2 linked regions of the Lonchura striata genome follow. The protein of the gene in region 2 interacts with the protein of the main gene of each other region in a pairwise test. Links are inferred from orthologs where the notes say so. Each region holds a gene or a part of one and is shown on either strand. Other genes may lie near its edges.

Region 1 (7,379 bases), on a different chromosome or scaffold from region 2:
GAGATGGAAGAAGCTACATGTAAAATAGATGCCAAAAGCATCAGAGGTAAAGACCCTAATGAATTCTGACTCCTGCCATTTCCCTGATTTGTAGCTGACAGAGGCTGATTTAAGTTTGGAAGCCTATGGTTCAGCATATAGTTTACTACTTTTCAGGGATATTGTCATTTCTTGTAACACTTCACTTTCTTTCCTAAAAGAACCAGCCTGCTTAATCAATTTCCTCTTCTACCTCTACTTCTTCCAATCATCTCTTGAATTGGAGGCCTTCCTTCTAATTACTGACATAATTTAAAAATGGTCTTATTTGGAACCTCTGTGTAAACATCCACTATTTATATAATCAGTTACCTGGCGTGGTCAGTCACTACGCCTCGGTGTTGCAGTATCTGCTGTTTGCATGAAACCTAAGCCAGCTAATAGCAAACTGACTTTAGTGGGAAAAACAGAAGTAAATATATGCAGTTATTAACAATATGCAATATTTGATGTTATTAGATACAAATCTTTCATGAGGACACCATAATGTATTTGGTGCCTATGAACAATGAAGGTGAAGATCTCAGAACGGGGAAGGAACTGCCATATCTCTGTAACTTGTCCCACAGTCATAGCATAGACTTCCTTAAGAACATGTGGGATAAACTCTGCATTTTGTGTAATGTTTGAAATGATGTCTCTTTGTTCTCTAAAGGATGTATGTGGAAATTTTGTAATTGACATTTGACCTGAGCACACAGTAATCTTTATAGATGCAAGGTAGATGTCTCCAAAAATTGTCACTATTCAGACCATTAATTTTTTTTCTTTAAGCATCTTCCTTTGCTATTTGCCAGTTAACTTCTCTTACTTCCTAGAGATTGTGAAATTACTGTGATTAAAGTTTCTTGCATTGATAATTCCAGTGACAAATTTGAAAGCTCTTACAATTTTAATGCTTTTCAGGATTTTGGAATAAGAAAAATTCCTTATGCTTTTCTGTTTTTCAACTATCCTCAATTAAACACTTACTACTGCCATAAACATTGCTAACTTTCATTTGACACATTCTTATGAGAAAAACAGCACACACACTTTTCACTCCTTTCTGTTCTGAGTTTTGAGGTCTTCTTCCTTAGGAATTAGCAAAACTAAATGAGTTTCCTGGGACTTCACCTGGAGTCAAGTTTTCCCTTATAGGTAGGTGTGTGGCACCTTATTCATTGTTATCCAGAGCAATCCCACTGAAAGTTGATTCCCTCTATCTACTACCTCAAGTTATGCCTGATGTTAATGGTATGCAGTGGTCACATAAACCTTGATAGCAGACTATTCTGTTCCTAAAAACTAGAAGGCAAAGAGAAAGATTTAATACTTATTGTATTTTAAAAAAATAATTAGTAATACTTAGTACTATTTGAGTTGGATTTAGTATTTAATATTTTGGGCAGGTGATGCTGACTGACTGTTCACCACTGTGAGAAAAAGGCCATTTCTCTGGCCACTGGATCATAAAGTTTTACTGCAGAAGAAACACAGGGCATTCAAGGAAAAGCATTATGTACATTTACGATGCTATTTGATAAGGGAAGTCTTTTGAAATTTGAAATTTCTGAAAGGTACTGAGGAAGGTTTCTCTCCTGCCATGATAGTATTAAATTCATAACACTGAAGCAATGGGGCTTTACAAATAAAAGGGTATTTTAAAAAAAGTGTCAGCTCTAACTCAGTAGGAAAGTAGGTTTTCTGTAAACTAAAGAGAGGAATATACCCAGCTCCATGTATTCTTGAAGTTATGTATGTTGTTTCATCTGGAGATGATCTATATAATTTACACTCTGCTTTCAATCTCTACATCAACAATTCATGAAACCAAGAGATACAGCTCTACTATGTTACAAAATGCAGACTCAACCCATACTTTGCAGCAGGTACTGTGCTCTGCTGGGAAGTCCTGTAGTGCATGCCCACTTACTCCTGGTCTCTCGATGAGGTGTTGTCTAACACATTATGAGATGGCAAAGGTCTGATTATATTTCATAGCATCAATATTTGAAAATATAAAAGACACTTCAGCATTTTTATAATATTTAATCTGCATGTCTGATAGAGGAAATAAAGAACGGGATCTTCTGCATGATGTCCTGTTACCTTAATCAAGGCAAATAATGCTTTATTTAAACAAGAAGTCTTAACTGTGTCAGTAGAATGATTTGTAGGCAACAGTTAGTAAGCAAAACTGGAAGAAAGAATGCTTGCTTATGCATGGTTTTGTAAGGATAGCAAGGGTTTGTATGAAGTGGATGCAAAGAGCTATAAACAAAGAGACAATTTCTTAATTTCTTTCACTTACTGCTTTTTACTTAGCAGATTTTGAAAGAAGCATGCTGCAGCAGGATATATTAATCAGGAAACAAGGTGCATGTTCACTTATGCTATCATGGATTGTGGGATTATGTACCTAGCAAGAATATTCTATACCAGCTGCTAAGTATTAATACTGCAGTCAGAGTGAACTAGCACTGTTCTACTTCATTCCCAAGTATTGGAAATTTCCTGATGTAATTTGCTTATGTAAAGTCTGAGAAGTCTTTAGGATCAAGTCCTTATTAAAAGCAAGTCCTTGCTGAAATACCATATCACCTCTCTTAAATATATATATATATATATATAACTAGATATATGCCCTGGAACAGACTTGTTTAGCAAGCAAACATACTAATTTTTACTTTTAGTTAATACCAAACTGTAAAGAAACTTCCAGCTATGCTGTATACTTGTGGGAGGTGAAGATCTTAGATAATTTCACAGATGTCACTTTAAAAGGAAGAGACAGAATTAGTAATATGTGTGTTGTGCAGAGAACTGCAATCCAACATTAGTAATCTATTCCTGTCATTCTCAAATAGAAGGGAAAGTAGGTTAGTAGATGGACAGGATGTCTCCACACAGCAACCACAAAATAAGTGCCATGCCTGAATGATGGATATATTCTTCATATGCATAAAATGCAATATATCCACAACCCGTTGATTTTTTGTAAGTAATCAAACTCATTGTTATCCCTGTTATATATATAAATATAAAAAAATATATTTACCAGTTGCACTGGCAAATTAAAAGGCTTTGTTTCAGAAGTGATTTTCCATATATCTCACATTCTCGGTCACTATTATGTTAATTTCAAGGAAGAAGAAACGGAAAAATTCGGCGAAGTTTGCACTTTAGTCTCTAAACTCAAGGCAAAGAGAGACGTTTTGAAATTTGCCAGGTCGCTGTTGGTGCCCACCTGGGAGCCCCAGCCTGGCGGTTGAAGCGGGTGAGGTGGTGGGCCTGGTAAATGGCTCCTGCCCGACTTCCAGTTCATCCGATGGGAGCTCCCGCTCCTCAGCGAAGCAGCTAAAGCCTTCTCCCTCGGGACATCAGCTTCTCCCGAGTGCCGCCGAGTCTCTGCTGGCACACCATCCTGTCCGGAAAAAGGAACGCCGAGAAGCGGCAGGCGCCCGAGAGCTCCCGGCGATGCTGCCTGAACAACATTCACCTGGATCGCGCTGGGAAGCGCCGGCTCAGCGCCGCCGCTGCCGCCCGCACTCCGGCAGCGGGCTGGGCTGGCCCCGCGCGGCCGCACGCCGGGGAGGTGTCGGGGCGGCGCGGCCCCGGCCCCGGCCCCGGCACCGCGCGTACCGTCTCCGTCTCCGCCGCCGCTCCCGCCCCCGCCGCCCCGCCCCGACACAACCATGGCCGTGGCGGCGGGGCGCGGGGGAAGGCGCGGCGGCACGGGCGGACCGTGCCGCCGGGGAAACCGAGACGGAGGGGAGCGCCGCGGCCTCAGGGGAGCTAGCTCCGGCCGGGCCGCGGCGGCCAGAAGGCCGCCTGCGGCGCGGAAGGTGCGCGCTTGAGCAAGGCAGGGAGGTATCGCCGCGGGACGGGCGTGCACGGGGAGAAGGGTCAGCCGGCGGGCGGCTGCGAACCGGCCCGGGTCGGAGCCCGGAGGCGGGAGCAGCCGGCGAGCTCGGGCCGCGCGGCGCGGTGAGGCTGGGGGCAGGTGCGTGCGCGGCCGACGCCGCTCCCGCCGGCCGCCCCTGGGCGGCTCCGGCTCGGCGGGGCTCGGCTGGGCGCCGGCGGAGCGCGGCGCTCGCTCGGCTCGCGATCGTGTTTGCGCATGACCCCTCCCCGCCTGCGCCCTCCCCTCCCCTCCCCGGCGGCAGCGGCGGCGGCGGCGGGGAAGGTTGGCCTCAGACACAGGCGGCTGCTCGGCGGCGGCGACGCAGTGCAGAGGTGCGGGCAGGTTGCGCTGGCCCCGCGCCCCGTCTCTCTCGCGCCCCGCCTGCCTCCGGAGCTCGCTCCCAGCCGGCGGCCTCCCCGCGCCGGTGTCGGGCCGGCCCCCCGGCCATGAGCGCGGCGCTGGGTGTCCCCCCGCCGCGCCGCCTTCCCCGCCGCCCCCGGCGGCTGCCGGGCTCCAGGAAAGTAGCTTGATGAGTGTCCAAAGTAGCAGTGGAAGTTTGGAGGGGCCGCCATCTTGGTCCCGGCTCTCCACGTCCCCACCGAGCCTGCAGGGCTGCTCCGCGGCGGCGACGGCCTCCCAGCTGCACGGCGCGCCGCCCGGCAAGCCGCCCAAGGAAGGTAACCAGCGCGCCGCGGGGCTGCGCGGGGGGCCCGGCCCTTGGGGAGGGGCCCGGCCGCCGCCGCCGGAGGCCGGTCCCGGGCCGCTGGGAAGCGGCGGCGGGAGAGGCCGGTGCCCCCGGCGGCGGCGCGGGGTCAGCGCCGGGCCCGGTGGTGGCGAGCGGAACCTCGGTCGCTGGGCGAGCGGGGCCCCGCCGCCCCCGCCCGCTCGTCGGCGCGGCGGCGCCTCGTTGTTACCCCCCGCGCCGGGCCGCGCAGGGGAACCCGCCGTGCTCCCTCCGGCCCCGGGCCGTCCGCCTGCCGCAGCCGCTCGCGTCTCCTCGGGCGGCCGCTCGCCGCGTCCTCCCCGAAATAGGCTCCCCTCCGCCAGCGGCTGAGTAGAAGTGCTGCGCCGGAGGATGCAGCCGCTGTTGCTGGAGGGAGTTGGGCACTTTTGGCATCATGGAGGTGGGAAGAGAGGGGCCGACACCGGAGGTTCGTCCCCGTGGGGAAAGCGCCCTCAGGGGCGGCCGGTTTTGCGGCCAGAAGTGACAGGGCGCCTTGCGGCCGCCACGGAATGACTGCAACTTTCTCCTGTCCTCCATCACGCCTTCGATGATAATATTTTTCTCCTCCCTCCCCTGCTCCTCCCCTCTTGTGTTACACCGACAGCGACAGCAGGGTGTTGTGGGTGTTTGCAGGGAATATCTGTATGAAGGTTATGAGCAAACAAGTCCCTTCGCTGTTCCCTTTCGGGTATTGTCTGCTTTTCCTCCTTGTGTTGTGTTGCCACAAGATGTAGCAGTTTTACAGCTAGTGAGTTGTTCGGCGCTTTTAGCTAAAATAACTACTTGCCGAACGCCGGTTAGTGGCGGAGGAGAACTTTTATGCACAAATGCTTGCATATTGAGCAGTTGTATAATTTTAATTGATTTGCCCCAGATTAATGAATACCATGTAGCTTCTGCAGAACGTCATCGCCCAAGCAGGAAACTTGCTAACTTAAAATAGAAATAGTTGCGAAGATGGAGAGTCTTTGTTTTTTAGGTCTTCCTGTGGTTGCTTGCTTGCTTGCTTTTTGGGTTTTCTTGGGTTTTTTATTTGGTTGATAAGCAATATAGGGACTTAGTAACAGGGATTCGACGTCCTTAAAATGTATAATGCAGTCTGGTTTCTCCATTTTCCACACCAGTAGTTGTCAGACTTGTATCACTCTGTGTCACTTTTGCACACGCTCCTGCAGGTAGATTGACATGAAATGCTCTAGAAAATACCTGGGAAGGAATTATGGTATATGTTAAAGATGCTGAGTAAAGTGGCAGGCATTTTGTGCTCGTCTTCTCTGGGAAACCAAAGCTGTTAGAAAAACCATCAGCAGCCAAATTCATAGTTTTAAGTTTATTGAGAGCAGGTATTTTCACTGTTGCAGCTCTTGTTAGGAATATGCATACAGATAATATGTATATGTAGGATATTTTTGGATGTATTTCAAATACCTGCCATTTAAATTTGAAATTATTATTGCAATATAAATTATCTATCTATTTATTTTAACAAAAAATGGTGGTCCATGAGTAGCTCTGTTGAGACAAGAAAAATATTTTTTGTGAAGCTCATTTTTATATGCTCTTTACATTTTTCTTTCTTACAACTCAGGCTGTTGGATTTTTCCAGGTACTGTAATTTGCATCCTCTAATACAGATTATGGGTTAAAAGTAATCAATACCTTGGTGTTTGTTTGGTACTATAATGTGTTGTATTTTTATAGTGTTCCTTGGTTGTGTTTAAATTGTGTGTCCTCACTAGGTAGCTCTCTTTGAAAATAAGCATAAGCTGCCGTGCTTGGGTTCATGTTTTGCATTCATGTTTGTGAGATGTTATCAAGGCATCTTACTTTATATATGGTTTACAAAGAAGTAGCTTGCCAGAAATCAGTAGGCCCTGAAATATAAATATATTAGTATGTTCATAGGCATTGGCTTATATATGTGAAAGACTGATGCCAGATCAAACTAATAAGCAAGGAGTATTTGCAGTACAGTGTGTTTATGGGAGCCTGGGCTGTCATCAATTCTAAACTTGTGATACCTGGGGCTTGTGAGTTTTGGAGCAGTGCACAAGGCTGCCAGCCTGCACTGGATCCCAGCTGCATTGCTGCTGGTGCCAGTTTTGAGTGGGTAATATTTACCATACAGCGCATTTGGCACTTGTGCAGAGCTTCTTTCCCAGCTTGGCCTTCTTGTTTTGGGTTAAATCCCTTTGGTTGTCTCCTGTGAGAGTTATGTCCCTGTTGCCTTTGGAAGTGCAGACCTTCATGGAGTGTACCAAGTGTGCTGTGGTTGATCTGACCTCAACTATGAAGGTCTGGTATCAGCTCACATGTCTCACATGGGCATTTGAAGATTCTGGTTTATTAAGAGCAGAAACCATCTGCACGTTGATTTAGGAAGTTCTAAAAGTATTTTCGGAATCTCTTAATAGGAAAAAAGCAAAAAATAAAAGCTCTAGCATATATGACAATTGCACAAACACATTTTAAAAAACTGGCAATATCTTGTCAATATCAAGAGACTACTTGGGAAGTATGGGTGAAATTAGAGGAAATAATAATTTAAAAATATTTTAATCTTTTAAAATGTGCTGCAACGTTGCAGCAACATTTTCCATTGGATGCTATCTTCTATATCTTGATCTAGAGTGGCCTCATGGCTTTGCTGTATTGATTTGATTTTTTGTTTTGAGGTTTTGAAATGAAAAGACTGGGATGGACTTGAATACAGTTGCAGCTGTACACTTT
Region 2 (7,116 bases):
ATTTCCAATCTCAAAATTTTACTTCCATTAGGAGAAAAAAAAAAAAAAAACAACAAAAAATGTGCAGTTTGCAAACTTTTTAAATATGCACAGGATTCAAGAGAAACCTTGGTAAATTTTGGAGTTTATAGCAAAAAAATGTCTAAAGAGGCAGAGGAGAAATTATTGGGATTGCTTCTCCAGATTTATGATGACATTCCATAAACTTCATCCAATGGAATATCTTCTGCATCCCACCCTGAACCTCAAGGAAGTAGCTGTACTTGAGTGGTTACAGCAAAGGAAAATTAATAATTTATGTACAGAGGTGAACACAAATAACCTGCTATGTAACCAGCATTTAAAGGAGAGGCTAAACACACCATAGATGGTTCAAACCCCAAAATCTCTCTCCCACACCCACACCAAGATGCCAAAAGCCAAGTGCAGCGAAGCCAAGCTACACCTGGGAGGGTTTCTTGGTTTCTTGCACTTTATGTAACTCTGGCTCTGCTGGCGCCTCGTCCTCCTGCTCCCTCAGCTCTGTATTTTTGGCTTTGAGTAGGAAGCTGCATTTGTCAGCCACCCCAAATAGCAGAATGGGGGTGTCAGTGATCCCTGCCAGCGGTTCCGGCCGCCAGGAGGATCCTCCTTGAAGTGCTGCCATCCCTTGTGCTCCCAACCTTGGGGCTGCAGCCCTTCCAAGCTGGGAGGGGACAGCCGAGGGCCAGCGCTCCGCAGTGACACCCCCCCTGAGCCAGGACCTGCTCTCACACTTCCTTTTATAGGGATGGAATGCATTTGGGGCTTTTTATCCTGTTTTCCCTGCCCATGTCCCGTGGCAGCAGGTGCAGAGCTGCCCCGGCCAAGGGCAGTAAATGCGGTCGCAGAAGTCACCCAAACCCACGCCCTGGTCAGACTGGCTCCTCACCATCCCTCCCGCAGCAATTCCCACTCGGGGGCTTGGAATACACCGTTGCCAGCCCATAATTAGCTCACAGCAAGGTGGGAATGTTGGTGAGAGGAACCAGTGAAACAGCAGGGGCTCAAAACCAAGAGGGTATCAGCAAAGCAAGGAACCTTCTGATGAAAAAACAAAAAAACCCCAGTGGAAAATCCACCCTTCCCACAATGATCCCTTTTTTGTTATCACGGTCCAGCAAAGACCAGCAGGATCTGTGCTCCCTAAGTCACACACTGCCAGCACATTTCTCTCTTACCAAACCAAAAGAATTAAATCAATACAATTTTCCATGCAGTGATTGGTTTTTTTAATCACCTTTGCAAGAGCAAAGGAGAGATGGAATCAGTTCTGTCTCAGCTGTCACAGCCACAGCACTGGGGATGTGCTGACGGGTACTTTAATTACTCCTATTTATAGGCTCATCAGTTGATATTTCCCAGCTTTTTTCAGTCTCCCTCACAAGTTACAATTTAGGGCTCTAAGCGGAATAACAGCATTTTTCTGGCAAGAAGGAAATTCACAGTGCTGCCAAAAGGTAACTTGTTCCCAGTGTGAGCAGGCATATCCAGAAAACACAACATAGATTAAAAAGCCTCCATATAGTTAAAAAAAACCCAACTACTATAAATGGCCATGAGATTGAAACCAACTCATCCAGATTCACCATCTTGAGCAGAAGAAGAGAGAGGACAACTTACCCTTGAAGAAATTATAATTTAATAGGTATTAGTTAGAGAGGTGAATGAATTGAAATTGTGGCTGCCCCATCCCTGGAAGTGTCCAAGGTCAGGTGGGAGCTTGGAGCAACCTGAGATACTGGAAGGTGTCCCTGCCCATGGCAGGGGATGGAATGGGATGAGCTTTATGGTCCCTTCCAACCCAAACCAGTCTGAGAATCTTAGAACAGATCTGTTAAAAAGGGTAAATATGCCTATACCCTTTTCTGACAATAATTCCACTAAAACCCAACATTTACCCAAATCTCTGAGCCCAAAAGGACACTGGGTACCAGACAAATGTCAAAATTCCTTAAGGACAGTGAGAAGCTACAACAAAGAAATGGGTTTGGCTGTTCATCAGTGCTTTAACGGCGCCACAAGGGTTTGAAATTAGAACGAATGGTGATAACTGGTTAAGAAGGCAGCTGTGGGCAGCTCAGGGATACTCGCTCTGTAGCTGGGCCGTGTTTTAGGGTGGGTCAATCAGCCGTGCTGCCTCCCGACGGAGCAGCACGACCCCTGTGCCTCGGTACCGAGCACATCCCGCACACGAACCATTCACCCCTCGGCTCCAGCGCTCCGCGGGGACACTCACTTGAACCCCCCAAAAACCGGGAGCACCGGCGACGAGACACTCGAAGCCACCCGATCCCTCCACCCCCGGGAGGTTCCGCTGGGACCGAGCGGGGACATCCTCCGGGAACGGGCGGGAGCGGGCACCGGGACATCCCCCCGGGAACGGGCACCGGGACATCCCCCCGGGAACGGGCTCGGGGACATCCCCCGGGAGCGGGCTCCGGGACATCCCCCCGGGAACGGGCACCGGGACATCCCCCCGGGAGCGGGCACCGGGATATCCTCCGGGAGCGGGCACCGGGACATCCCCCCGGGAGCGGGCACCGGGACATCCCCCCGGGAGCGGGCACCGGGACATCTCCCGGGAGCGGGCACCGGGACATCCCCCCGGGAGCGGGCACCGGGACATCCCCCGGGAGCGGGCACCGGGACATCCTCCGGGAGCGGGCTCGGGGACATCCCCCCGGGAGCGGGCACCGGGACATCCCCCGGGAGCGGGGCGCTGCCGGGGCGGCTCCCGGGGGTGCCGCCCGCCCGCAGGGAGCGGCCGCGTCCCCGCACCCCCGGAGCGGGCGCGGAGGCGCCCCCGGAGCCGCGGCCCCTGCCCGCCGCCCTCCCCGCCGGCGCGGCCGCCGCTCCCGCCTCACCTCCGCGATGTCATCTTCCCCCGTGGCCCCGGCGGGTCGCGGTGCGCCGGCCCCCCCGCGCCGCCCGCCGCTCACATGGGGGTCCCGGCGGGGCCGCGGCCTTCGGGCGCTGCGGGGAGCGCGAACAACGGCGGCCTCGGGCCCGCGAGCGCGGCGCGGCCCGCCCCGCGTCACCGCCCGCGCCGTCATCGCCCCGCGCCGCGCTCCGCCCCGCGCCGCCGCTCCGCCCCGGGGGCTGCGGGACCCCCGGCGCGGGAGCGCGGGGACACCGCAGCCCCGCTCGCGCGCGGGGCGGGGCGCGGAGCCGGCCGAGCCCCGAGCGGACGCGGGTTAAGCGGCGGCGGCGCGGCGGGGCCGCTGCCCGGGCCGGGGCTCCCGCAGCCCCCGGAGCGGGCGCGGGGTCTGGTGTCCCCCCGCCGCTGACCCGGGGCTGCCCCGGGCAGCGCGGGCGCTCCCGGACTACGAGTCCCGTGCTCCCCCGCGCGGCGCGCTGACGTCAGACGCCGCGCTGTCCTTAGCCCGCGCACCCGGATGTGAGTTCCTTTTGCTCCCCCGGAAGGTGAGGATGGCGGAGCTGCCGCCAGCGGAGCCGGGCCCGCCGCGCTCCATCCGCCGCCATCCGCCCGCCGGCGGCCCCGCCGCGGTCACAGGCGCGGCCCGGCAGCCTCGGGGAGCGGCGGAGGGGCGCGGATGGGCGCGGGGGCGGGGAGGAGTGGGAGTGTCGCCGGTCCAAGTGGGCTAGGCCGCGGCGGGATGCGGAGGCCGCGGCGGAGCCTCCCGGGAGCTGGGCTGGGGCTGGACGGGGGCTGCCGCTGGGGCACGGCCCGGCAGCTCCGCGGGGCCGGGGCAGTCCCAAACCGGGACAGCGGCGGCTGCAGGCTCGGGGTGTGTGTGCGTTTCCACCGAATGGGCGCTGGAGCTGTTGAGAGCAGCGTGCAGGAGCATTTCAAGTCATGTAGGGGCGCACAGGGAGCAGGACTCGGTCAGCTATGGCTGGAGGAGGTGGCTGACAGCTACTGGAAAGGTGTGAAGGATTGTTTGGATTATTTTATTTCCTGTGCTTTGTAACGAGCTCTAAACCCTGCCGACTGTGATCGCAGATGGCGGGTGAGAAGGCGCCGGAGAAGAAACCGGGTGAGAAGAAGTCGGCCAAGAAGAAGGCAGGACAGAAGAAACTGGCGGAGCAGAAGCCAAGCCAGAAAGCAGCGGGGGACAAGAAGAAGAGGGTGAAGAAGTACCATGCCAGCCGAAACCCTGTCCTGGCCCGGGGCATCGGGAGGTATTCCCGCTCAGCCATGTACGCCAGGAAAGCCCTGTACAAGCGCAAGTACACGGCCCCAGAGACAAAGGTAGGGTGGGGAGCACTGGGGCAGTAATCGGGTTTATCGTGCTGCCTTTAGTGTGAAATGTGCTGAGTTTTCCTTGTTCTTTGCACACAGATAGAGAAGAAGAAGAAGGAAATGCCCCGTGCCACCATCACCAAGCCAGTGGGTGGAGACAAGAATGGAGGCAGCCGGGTGGTTAAAATCCGGAAGATGGTATGGAAGAGCACCGGGATGCTCGTGGTTTGGTGCAGGGGGCTTTAGGCTGGGTGATGAGCCTCATGCTGGGATGATGTAGGGCCCTCAGCCTGTGGTGTGCTTTCTGTGAGTTCGTGGGAGGTGGTGGGAATTCAGGTGGGAATTCTCTGTCCAGCATGTTGCTGTGCTGAGGTGGAAGCACGCACAAATACAGAGCTGGACACTATTCCAAAACATTCACTGTGTTCCCAAGCTCATCTGAAGCAGAAATCCTTCAGAAAGCTGAACCTCAGGGCAACAGGGAGAGCTTTCCTGAGGAGCTGCCATGCTGTGAGACGCGGGTGGTACAAGGTGGTTGTCCTCTGTTCCAGCCCAGGTACTACCCCACGGAGGACGTTCCCCGGAAGCTGCTGAGCCATGGCAAGAAGCCGTTCTGCGAGCACAAGCGGCGCCTGCGGGCGTCCATCACCCCCGGCACGGTGCTCATCCTGCTCACCGGCCGGCACCGCGGCAAGGTGGGCACAGCTCCTGCTGCCAGGGCGTTGGCAGCGTTTCAGACACCCCTGAATCTCCCAGCTGATTTTGTCTGACCCTGCTGGGTGTAAATCTGCGACTTCTGTCGGGGTGGTTTCCTCGTCCGGACTTTAGTGGTGGCAGGGGTGAAATGTTTGTTGAATTAAGGTTGTTCTGAGCAGAGCTGGAAGTAAAACAGGCTCAGCTAGTTGCTTGGACACAATGCAGAGAGTTTTGCTGCAGAGCAAAGCCAGTGCCTGTTTCTGTTGCTGCTCCTACAAAAACAAAACTTTGTCCTGCAGCAGTTACTGCAAAGGAAAAATTAGAGGAAAAATTTAAGTTTCATTCTTAATCTAATTATAGGGTAGCACTGAATCGTTATATTGGGCTCCCCATCCTCAGGATGGTCACCAACACAAGTGGTATCCTTTATTTTCTTGAATTCTCTCTCTTTGACATTCATGATTTCATAAAGAATGCTGCCAGAGAAGGAAGCCTTGACCAGAAGGAGCAAAACACAATGGGGGAATGGCTCTGACTGTGTGAATTTATAGAGTCCTTGTGGTGTTCATCCAATTCTTGCCTGTAACTCAAAGGATTTCAGTGTTGGGATAGCTGTTACCATCCTGTAGGATGGGAGAAAAGCAAAAACAAGTAATTGGCTTTGCTTAGCCTTGAAAGAGAAAGCTCATGGAGAGTCACATTATTGGAGAGGAGGCACCTGGAGGTGCTGGAGCTTGGATCACAATTTGGCAGCTCCTCAGGTGGCACAGCTGACCCATGCCTGGAGCACTGTCAGTACTTGTACCAGGAACAGAGGCACAATCCCAGTTTGACTATGGTATGGGAGCACTGGGACCTGAGGATTGATGTCCCATCTCATTTCTTTGCAGCGTGTTGTGTTCCTGAAGCAGCTTGATACTGGCCTTCTGCTTGTTACAGGTAAAAAAAAAATATATTTAAACATGGTACTTTTGTTCTGGGGGCTTCTTTGGGTTTTTTGAGTTCTAGTTTGTGTCGAGTCAGTAGCACATCTGCACATGTTTGGTTTGGCACATCAGTGGGGAATCATATTTGTGGAGTCAGCACCCCTGGAGGTGTTCAAGGAACAACTGAATGTGGCATTTGGTGCTCTGCTCTAGTTGACAAGGTGGTGATCTGTCAGAAGTTGGACTTGATGATCTTGGGGATCTTTTCCAACTTGAATGATTCTGCCATTTGTGACTTTGCAGGGAGGTGGAGGAGAGATGATTTAAGTTTCAGGATCTGACTAACTGAAAGAGCTCAGAAAGGATTTTTGTATTTCTAGAGGGGTTTGACTGTTGAGATTTTATCTGTAGGCAGCTCTGAAGGAACTGGTCCTCACATAGACTACAAAAATTCAGCTTTAAGGAAGTGGTTTTCACCAGAGAAGCTGACCTTGTTCTCTCTTGTCTTCTCCACCTTCAGGCCCCCTGGCTGTCAACCGTGTCCCACTGCGCAGGGCCCACCAGAAATTTGTTATTGCCACATCCACAAAGGTGGATCTCACTGGGGTGAAAATTCCCAAGCATCTCACGGATTCCTACTTCAAGAAGAAGCGGCTGAGGAAGCCAAAGCACCAGGAAGGAGAGATCTTTGACACTGAGAAAGAAGTAAGGGACAGGGTGGTTCCTTCTTTCTCAATGCTCCAGGCTAGACTGGAAAGAGGAAATTAGCATGAAAAAAGCCGGGTTGATTTTAAGTGGTCATTAATAAAGTGAGGTAATGCCATTAAAAGGAGGTACTCCCCCTTCTGAATGCAGAGATTTTTCTCTGAAGAGGAGTTACTATTCCAGTTAAATGTCTTTTTTTGACCAAGAAATGCTGTCAGCGTTGGCTCCAAGGAATGCTTCAGTGCTGCACCACCTTCTCATTATCAAAAACAAATGGGGGAAAGATTTCTTTAAAATCCTAAAACTCAGGCTTTACACTGAATTTCCTCCTCTCTCTAAAGGATCCTGCAGTTGCTCCCAGGATTTTCATCTTGTTCTCTGTGCTTTGCAGAAATATGAGCTGACGGAGCAGCGCAAGACAGACCAGAAGGCCGTGGATTCCCAGATCCTGGCACGGATCAAGAAGGTGCCTCAGCTCCGGGGGTACCTGCGCTCCACATTCTCTCTCTCAAATGGAGTTTATCCTCACAAATTGGTGTTCTGAGCCTTCTGGAAGCACCACAT

Evidence for each region.
Region 1: the proteins of PTPN11 (region 2) and TLK1 interact in binary tests that used the Homo sapiens proteins (3 or more experiments, as listed by UniProt). The link is inferred for Lonchura striata from reciprocal best matches to the Homo sapiens genes PTPN11 and TLK1.

Annotation. Positions count from the first base shown.
Region 1 is NC_134610.1:20,256,005-20,263,383, reverse strand, and holds the start of TLK1 (serine/threonine-protein kinase tousled-like 1), read left to right. Parts: upstream 1-4,373; 5' UTR 4,374-4,454; coding exon 4,455-4,602; intron 4,603-5,034; exon of another isoform or gene 5,035-5,076; intron 5,077-7,379. UniProt on the Homo sapiens protein: Rapidly and transiently inhibited by phosphorylation following the generation of DNA double-stranded breaks during S-phase. This is cell cycle checkpoint and ATM-pathway dependent and appears to regulate processes involved in chromatin assembly.
Region 2 is NC_134620.1:11,592,008-11,599,123, forward strand, and holds the start of PTPN11 (tyrosine-protein phosphatase non-receptor type 11), read right to left. Parts: upstream 3,019-7,116; 5' UTR 2,900-3,018; coding exon 2,886-2,899; intron 1-2,885. Other genes in the region: RPL6 (large ribosomal subunit protein eL6), read left to right, coding at 3,986-4,234, 4,325-4,423, 4,777-4,920, 5,812-5,860, 6,368-6,552, 6,944-7,096. UniProt on the Homo sapiens protein: Acts downstream of various receptor and cytoplasmic protein tyrosine kinases to participate in the signal transduction from the cell surface to the nucleus. Positively regulates MAPK signal transduction pathway. Dephosphorylates GAB1, ARHGAP35 and EGFR.